2 linked regions of the Sus scrofa genome follow. The protein of the gene in region 1 interacts with the protein of each later gene in a pairwise test. Links are inferred from orthologs where the notes say so. Each region holds a gene or a part of one and is shown on either strand. Other genes may lie near its edges.

Region 1 (3,803 bases):
GGGTCTTGGTCAAAGGTGAACTGTGTTCCCTGACCATGGTGCACATCCCAATCCACAATAAGGACCCTGTGAAGGGAGAGAGGGGGCCACTGGGTAAAAAGACCAAGGCGCATCTGTGGGGAGTGCCCAGACGTGCCCACCCTCATTATACCCGCCCAGCTGCTTGCTGCTGACCTCTGAACGTCATGCTTCTGCTGAGCGTAGCGGGCGGCCAAGGCTACGTGGTTGAACATGCAATACCCGTCCATAAGACTGTGCTGGGCGTGGTGTCCAGGAGGCCTGGGTAGGACAGGGAAGGCCATAGATATGAGGGGGTCCTCCTCAGCAGAGAGGGACTCTTTCCGGCTCCCTAATCCTACACCACGAACGTCCCCAGTGCCAATGCCTGCACAGGTCCCAGGCTAGGGGTCCAAGCGGAGCTGCAGCTTCTGGCCAGAGCAACGCGGGATCCAAGCCCTGTCTGCAACCTACACCACAGCTCATGGCAATGCTGGATCCTTAACCCACTGAGTAACTGGGGCCCTTGGCTCCACAACCCCCAGTCTGCTCTTCTCCTCCAAAGGAAATTTAATAATGCTCAGTAAAATTATCAATGCATACACCCTCATACCAAGTCCTTCTGCTCCTGGGGACTTAGTCCACAACCTATATAACAAAAAGGGTGAAATAACATGTTTATCAATGGATGATATTTGCTGCAGCATTTTTTTTTTTTTTGGAAAAAGCAAATGGTGGAACCAAAACGCTCCATGGTAAGGGGCTGGTTGGCTTACTGCGCCACTGTGTAGTGCTGTTTTACGCTGTTCAGAGAAAAGCTGTCCAACATGTGTGAGTGAAAAATGCACAGTACGCAAAGGAGTGGGTCAGGTGCTACCACCGTTTGTGGTTAAAAAAAAAGGGGGAGGGAGGAAAAAAGGCTACATCTTCTGCATGTCATCACTTCTGGGGTGCCAGTGACGATAAGATGGACTGGGATTTTACAGGCCGACAACAAAGCAGAAAATGCTGCCAAAGGAATTCTGAGACCTCCTCGTTTCTAAGGTGCACCTGGATTTTAAGATGTTACAAATGTGGAAAAGCAACATCTCAGAATCAGCAAAAGATGGTATTTCCTCCATGACTAGGCACAGACTATTTCTGGGAGGACACATGAGTCACTGGTTATACAGTGACTACCTCCAGGAGAGGAAGCCGGGGATTGGGGACGGGGGTGGGGGGGGGGGCGTGGAGAGGACTTTAACTTGTACCTTCCCCCTCAACCTTTTAGAATGTTCCATTCTTTTTGTCTTCTTTTTAGGGCAGCACCCAAGGAATATGGAAGTTCCCAGGCTAGGGGTCCAGTTGGAGCTGCAGCTGCCGGCCTACACCACAGCCACAGCTAGGTGGGATCTGAGCCCTGTCTGCAACCTACACCACAGCTCATGGCAACGCCGGATGCTTAACCCACTGAGCGAGGCCAGGGATCGAACCCACATCCTCATGGATCCTAGTCAGATGCGTTACCACTGAGCCACAACGGGAACTCCTAACCATTTGATTCTTGAACCGTGGAAACATACTACCCCTACCATTACCTTTTATATTTGAGAAAGGATTTTTTTTTTAACATAAAAAGCCAAAGGCCAGCAGGTCCTACCTGATGATGGCCATGCCATTCCGGATCTCAGCCCCCAGGACGGCATCCACCAGCCTGAGGACGGAGCCTGAGGCCAGGCAGGCACAGGTGTATGAGTTCTGCAGAGACAGTGGGGAGCCAGAGAGGGCGTGAGGGGGTGAGCAGCCCTGTCTGCTCAGCTGCTCCCCCCAGGGTGGGGGGGATGGGGGATGGGCATTGCCTCCACCCTCTGCCCTCACAGCTCTCAGCCATACCGGATGCAGATAAACCGAATCATAGGTGTCTGCTAGGACGCGGAGCTCCCCCTCATTCATGTACTGGGTCGTCTCCATCAGATCAATGTACTCTAGGCTGGGTAGGTGGATGGGAGAGGAGATTCAGAGGCCTGCCTCTCTCCTTGTCCCTGAGCCAGGGCCCTGTCCCCTTCCCAGCTGATTCCTCCAGGCACCAACCCCCTGGACAAGACAGGCCTCCTTCAGCTGTCAATGGGGGGAATAACTGGGATATAGAACACAGTCCTTGCTTCATCCCTAGCCTGCCTCATTTCCAGTAACATCCCTTTCCCTCTGCTCTGGCCACACCAAATCCTACCTCCAGGCCTTTGGCCAGAGTGTTCTAGCCATCTGTACCTCCCTTCCCTCAGGCTTCTTTGTATCACTCTCACTCTTTTTTTTTTTTTTTTTTTTTGGTCTTTTTAGGGCTGCACCTGTGGCATATGGAAGTTCCCAGGCTAGGGGTCCAATTGGAGTTACAGCTGCCAGCCTATACCACAGTCACAGCAATGTGGGATCCAAGCCGTGGCAGTGACCTACACCACAGCTCATGGCAATGCGAGATCCCTCACCCACGGAGCAAGGTCAGGGATTGAGCCTGTGTCCTCATGGATACCAGTTGGTTTCGTTACCGCTGAGCCATGATGGGAACTCCATCTTTTTCTCCTCTTAGTTATTTTTTTTTTGGCCACACCCACAGCATGTGGAAGTTCCTGGGCCACAGGGATTCAGGAATTGAACTCGTGCCACAACAGTCACCCAAGCAGCTGCAGTGACAAGGCTGGATCCTTAATCCACTGAGCCCCAAGGGAACTCCTCTCTCTCTTCTTAAAGCTCAGCTGAGATACCCTCTCTGCCAAGTTAATGTCCCTTGAGCCATATCTCACCAGGCCCCTTACCCTGGGTTCCTGCAGCCCCCTGGAGGAACCTCCTGATCACTCTGTCCACATACCCGTCATCTGTTTACACATCAGATTATAGTAACGAGAGTTCATCCGGGCTGATGATACATCAGGCACCATTCTAAGTACCTCACACAGGTTTACTGGCCCCCAAGATAAAGGCAATGACAACAATGAGATTCAGAGAGGCTCAGTGACTTGCCCAAGGCCACAGAGCCCATGACATTTCTTGCCAAAGCATCCAGCCTGCCCTGGTTGGCCCAGGGCAGCCTCCTCCCCATCCCTACAAGGCACCCAAGCCTTCACCTGTGAACCAACATAAGCTCCTCCTTTTCGGCGAATCGGGCCTGGGGAGACATGAGGAATAAAGAACTATAAGGCTCTGGCTGTGCCTGGGTCCTGCCAGCTGCTGCCCTCCATACGGGGTGTCGGCTGGGGAACTCACCTGAAAGGACACGCAGCGGTCCAGGAGGCCCTCCTGCATCAGCTGCTCCTTGATGGCATGGAGCCGCTCAGGGCCTTCAGGGAAGCTGGGTTGACAGAGACACAGACATATGACACTGGTGAGCACGTCTGCTCCTGCGCACCTTTCCCCATCTACCTGTCCACAGCTGCTGATGCCGGAAACTCTGGAGTCAGCCCTGGCGCCTGCTGGCTCGGTTCTCACAATAGATCCAGAGCCTGCCCCTCTCCTCATCACCTCCACCGCTGCTACCATGACCTCTCGCCCGGGTACCTCCTCACCGGCCTCTGGGGTCCTGTCCTTGTCCCTCTCTCTGCAATGGTTAAAACTCAAATCGGATCACGTCCCTCCACTACTCAAACCTTCTCATGGCTCCCATCTCATTCAGGGTAAGCGCCAAAGTGCTCCCCCGCCCCAGAAGGCCCTTAACCATCCACCCCGTCACCTCCCTGAGCCTCATTTCCTCCTGCTTCCCCCGCCCCCCGGCCACTCACTCTGCTTCTCCTGCATTGGTCTCCTCCGTGTTCCTCAACCAAACTGAGTAGGTCCCA
Region 2 (4,351 bases), on another chromosome or scaffold:
CAGAGGCGGCATGGATCCTGTGTTGCTGTGGCTGTGGTGTAGGCCAGCAGCTACAGCTCCGATTTAACCCCTAACCTGGGAACCTCCATATGCCGTGAGTTCAACCCTAAAAAGCAAAAAGAAAGAAAGAAATTAATTCTAGGCAAAAACAAAAACCTGAGTGCCTTCCCCCTTCTGATCATCTTATCATCTCAGCCATCCTCACCAGGTGGCAAATGAATGACCTTGGAATAGTCCCACATTTCCAGCTCTGTAAAATGGAGAGTGATGTCCCCTAATTCACCTAATTTGTATGTTAAGTGAAACGTTCTCTAAGTTGGAGGAAAGGGCTGCAAACGACGTAGTTTCCGTATATATATGTTAATGTTTCTATTACTATTATGACTGTTATGTAAGTGGTCAGGGCAAGGTGAACGCCCAGAGGGCAAAGGTAGCCTCCGCCAAGGAATGGGCCCTCCAGGGCGCATCTCAATACGGAGCAAGTTTAAAGAATTTTAGCCAGTAATCTTGACTCGGGGTGAGAGGTTGAATTTGTCTTAATCAAGGCTCAACCGTTCTTGAAGTCTTCGGGCTTGAAACTCTAGGAGAAAAAAGTAGGCTTTCTGGGCAAGATCCGAAATGCAACGCGGATTGGGGCCTCACTGCCACCTGCTGGGCACCAGGGGGTGCCGGTTGGATCCATTTGAAGTCTGGCTGGCTTGGGGGCTGCCACTCTGGGTGCGCCGGACCGCCTCTGGACAGGATCCGGGGAGCTGGTGGTAGAAGTGCCCGAGGTTCATGACTTTCGGAGACGCAGTGCCCTTTCCGCGTCCCCCTCCACCTCATTTCCAGCGACACCCGGGCACAGAAGGCCTGGGAAAAGTGTGAGCGCCTGTGGTGGGAACGGTGTGCCCATCTGGGTCCCCCGAAGAGCGGCGAGGACCGCGACCGCTCCGACGGCGCGGTCAGACTCTTGTTCAAGGGGAGGCAGCTGTTCTTCCAGGCAGCCGTGGGGGGCAACAGAGGGGACGGCGACAGGTGCGGGAGCCCCTCCCGGGGTGGAAGTGAAAAGGCGGGCTTCGGGGTCTGTTCCCAGGCTGGAAGCCACCCCCGCCCCCCAACCAAATCCCCGGGAGAGGCCCGGCCGGCGCCGGGTCTGGAGGAGGAAGCGGCCGGAGACAGTGCAATTTCACGCGGCCTCTGGGGCTCGGGTTCCTGGGCAGGGTGGATGAGTTATGGGGTTTCGAGGGGGTTTGGGGGAAACTGAGGTGGCCTGAGTGGGCGGCAAAAACACCCTCCCACTCAAAAACACACATGCAGAGAAACATTTACATTCAGATAGAAAATCCCCCAAGTGACCCAACCGGCTAGGGGAGTTGAGTGATTTGGTTGGTGGGCGAGGCCAACTTGCAGGGGGCTGGGCTTTGGAGCGCTCTCCCCACCCCCATTACCTTTCTCCTCGGGAGGCATTTGGGGGCGGCTGGAATCTTGGCCTCTCCTTAGTCCAGCTCCTGGAGAAAAATTAGGGTGAGACCCATCCGCGATCTGCGTGGCCCCAGTTGCCCGGCACTGGAGCTTGGGGCGCGCTCGGGGCGGGCCGCCGAGGCTCCAGCAATCGCTACTCCAGCCTAGCGCCCGAGGGGGCGCGGCCGTGACTCACCCCCTCCCCCTGCGCTCCCTCCTTCGCTCCCTCGCAGACTACACCCCTCCCCTGCTATCCCGCCCCGGACTCCGGCTCCGGCTCCGGTTGCAATTCGCAACCTCCTCTGCTGCCGCTACCAAGTCGCTGGTGGCTCAGGTGGCTCCGCTTCGATGTCCTAGTCCAGGGGCTCCCCCGGCCGGATTGGGCTGGGCTCCCCTCACCCGCCGCTGGAGTCATGAGGGCGAACCGGGCTCTGCAGGTGCTGGGCTTCCTCCTCAGCCTGGCCCGGGGCTCCGAGGTGGGCAACTCTCAGGCAGGTAAGCGGCGCGGGAGCACCGGCAGGCTCGGAACTCGGGATCCCGAGCGGAGCGCGCGGGGTCCGGGAGGGCAGGGGCAGGAACCCGGGCTGTGCTAGGCTGGGGTGCGGAGCCCCGGTCCGCTGGGACCCCTCCTGGGCGGGGAACGTCAGGATCGGGTTCTCGGCGTGGTCCGGGCGGGGAGAGGATTCCTGCACCACCACCTTCCCCTGGGCACCTCCTCCCTGGCCCGTCGCGGACCCTCTGATTTGTCTCTCGGGATAGGGCTGATGCGCAAACATTCACACTTCTGAGGGACCCTGCAGGAAGGGGAGCTAGGACCCCCATTCTGTAAACGTGAGGGCCTGATTGGAGGTGGAGATCTTGGAGGGAGCCGGGCGGGGAGAGGGGGTCTCGGTTTGCACCCATCCTCCTGCCCCCTCCTGCCCCCTCCTGCCCTCCACCACCTCCAGTTTGGTTGTTTTGCCGACAGGGCGGAGCTGTGGAAGGGGTGTGTGTGTGGGGGGGGGTAGGTTGTTGTTCTCTTGTGTTGGAAAACAAGAGCAGCACCTCCTCTTCCGTGAGTGGGTCTGCCCTGGGGAGAGCTGAGATTAACCCCAGGGCCAAGTCCAGGTGACAGCAGGTTGAGAGGCCACGCAAACACTGCCTGCCTCCTTTCTCTCAAAATAATAAAAGTTGGCTGGTTCCAGACTCGACCAACCTGTTTTTAAGACCCCGATCAATTCAACTGGTATTTATTAAGCATCTACTATGTACAAAGCCCTGGGCCAGGAGATGAAGGGGCAAGGACTTCCAGTGGCTGTTTCTCTCTCAGGGCCCACAGGGCTCCTCTCCCATCTTCTGAGGCGCCTGTCCTCCGAGTTCCTTCTTAGACACAGCTTCCCCCCCACCCCCCATTCTGTTTATTGTCTGGCTGTCTCTAGGAGTCTAGACAAGAGTCAGTTTGCTCCACTATTCCTCCTTCTACTCCCATGCCAGCTGAACTCACCCCTTTGGGGTGTCTCTGGGACCGTGGACACCTGAGGGGTGCTGGGGTTGCTGGCATGGGAGGAATCCTGTTGCTCTCCTCCCCTCCCCCCCAGACCTCAGCTTGGGGTTTGGCACAGCCAGGGCCCCTTCCCCAGGGTGGGAGTGGGAGAAACACCTGTGCTTCCCTCACAGTTGCTGGGCCTAAATTTAGAGCCTGGGATCTTGAGATGTGAACACTCCCAGCTGGTGGAGGGTGGGGGTCTGGGGATTGAAGTGGGAGAGACTGAATGGAGGGACTCTATCACTGTCCCATCCAGACCCCTGGAATCTTCAACCCAACCGGGAACCCAGGAGTCCCAGACCCTGGCCACCTTCCCCGAGGGAGACAGGAGGCAGGCATGGTTGGGTCTCTTTACCCTTTATCTGGATCCTGCAGCCTCTGGGCATCCGGCCCTGTCTCAGTCCTTCTATAGCCCCTTTGTCCTGCCTGTGATGGGGGTGGGGGACTTTGGAGAGGAGGCCTGTGGTTGAAGAGGGGCTGGAGATTCTTGCTCTGACCCACCCCAGTGCTCTCTACCAAAAGAGGGCCTGTGACACTGGCTCTCCCAAGGCCCCTGGTCCCTGAGTACAGCAGAGATGGTCTATTTCCCCTCCCCCTCCCCTCCTCCCCAGGCTGCCCAGTTCCTCCTGAGAGGTGTTGTTCATACTCTCTTCCCGCCCAGCCACCCAGCCCTTTGCTCTCTGTTTGTGTAATACGGACTTTACCCTCAGGGAGGCAGGGAACTGGGACATCTTACTCTGTAGCCTCCCAAGCACAGACACAAAGTCTGCACAGACACATATGGGCAGGTGGGATGGATGGGGCCACCTGAAATACTTCCTGATAAGGAAGCCCAAGGACAGAACCAGTAGAGATTTTGGGGCCAGTAGGGGAGCTGTGTACATGTTTGTCTGTGTGTGTGTGTGTGTGTACACGCACACATCCCGCTTCCCTGTGTGGAAATCTTGGCTCCTCCCTTATCAGGGGAGAAGGGTTGGCGCCTTGACTTGGAAGAGAGGGTGTCCTGCCAGGAAGGGGGTTGGGGTGGGGCTTTTCCAGAAATGACTAACCTTCCTAGTCGTTTTCTTTTTAGCCCAAGGACCCTAGCATTCCCAGGCTCCTCTGGGAGCGCCTGGCCTTTTTACCCCTCTGCTAGGTCTAGCTCATCCCATTCCCTTTAGGAGGTGTGACAGGGAATAGAAGGCCTTCAAAGGTCAAGTGGGCAGACTAGGGGTGCATCTTGGAGGAGGGCTTGGGGCCTCACCAATCTCCCTTCCTCCGTTCCCGCTCCTGCCTCCCACTAGGCTGCCACTGCCTCAGGGAAGGGTGGCTGGAACAGGTGGTATCTACTCCTGCTCCCGCTCCGCTCGCCACAGTCTTTTTCTGAGCCAGGGGAGAGACAGG

Evidence for each region.
Region 2: the proteins of HDAC6 (region 1) and ERBB3 interact in a protein complementation assay, tested with the Homo sapiens proteins (2 studies listed by BioGRID and IntAct, with this or other methods). The link is inferred for Sus scrofa from reciprocal best matches to the Homo sapiens genes HDAC6 and ERBB3.

Annotation. Positions count from the first base shown.
Region 1 is NC_010461.5:42,921,058-42,924,860, reverse strand, and holds part of HDAC6 (histone deacetylase 6), read right to left. Parts: intron 3,320-3,803; coding exon 3,235-3,319; intron 3,137-3,234; coding exon 3,096-3,136; intron 1,967-3,095; coding exon 1,870-1,966; intron 1,735-1,869; coding exon 1,637-1,734; intron 280-1,636; coding exon 175-279; intron 67-174; coding exon 1-66.
Region 2 is NC_010447.5:21,472,769-21,477,119, forward strand, and holds the start of ERBB3 (receptor tyrosine-protein kinase erbB-3), read left to right. Parts: upstream 1-1,449; 5' UTR 1,450-1,856; coding exon 1,857-1,938; intron 1,939-4,351. UniProt on the Homo sapiens protein: Tyrosine-protein kinase that plays an essential role as cell surface receptor for neuregulins.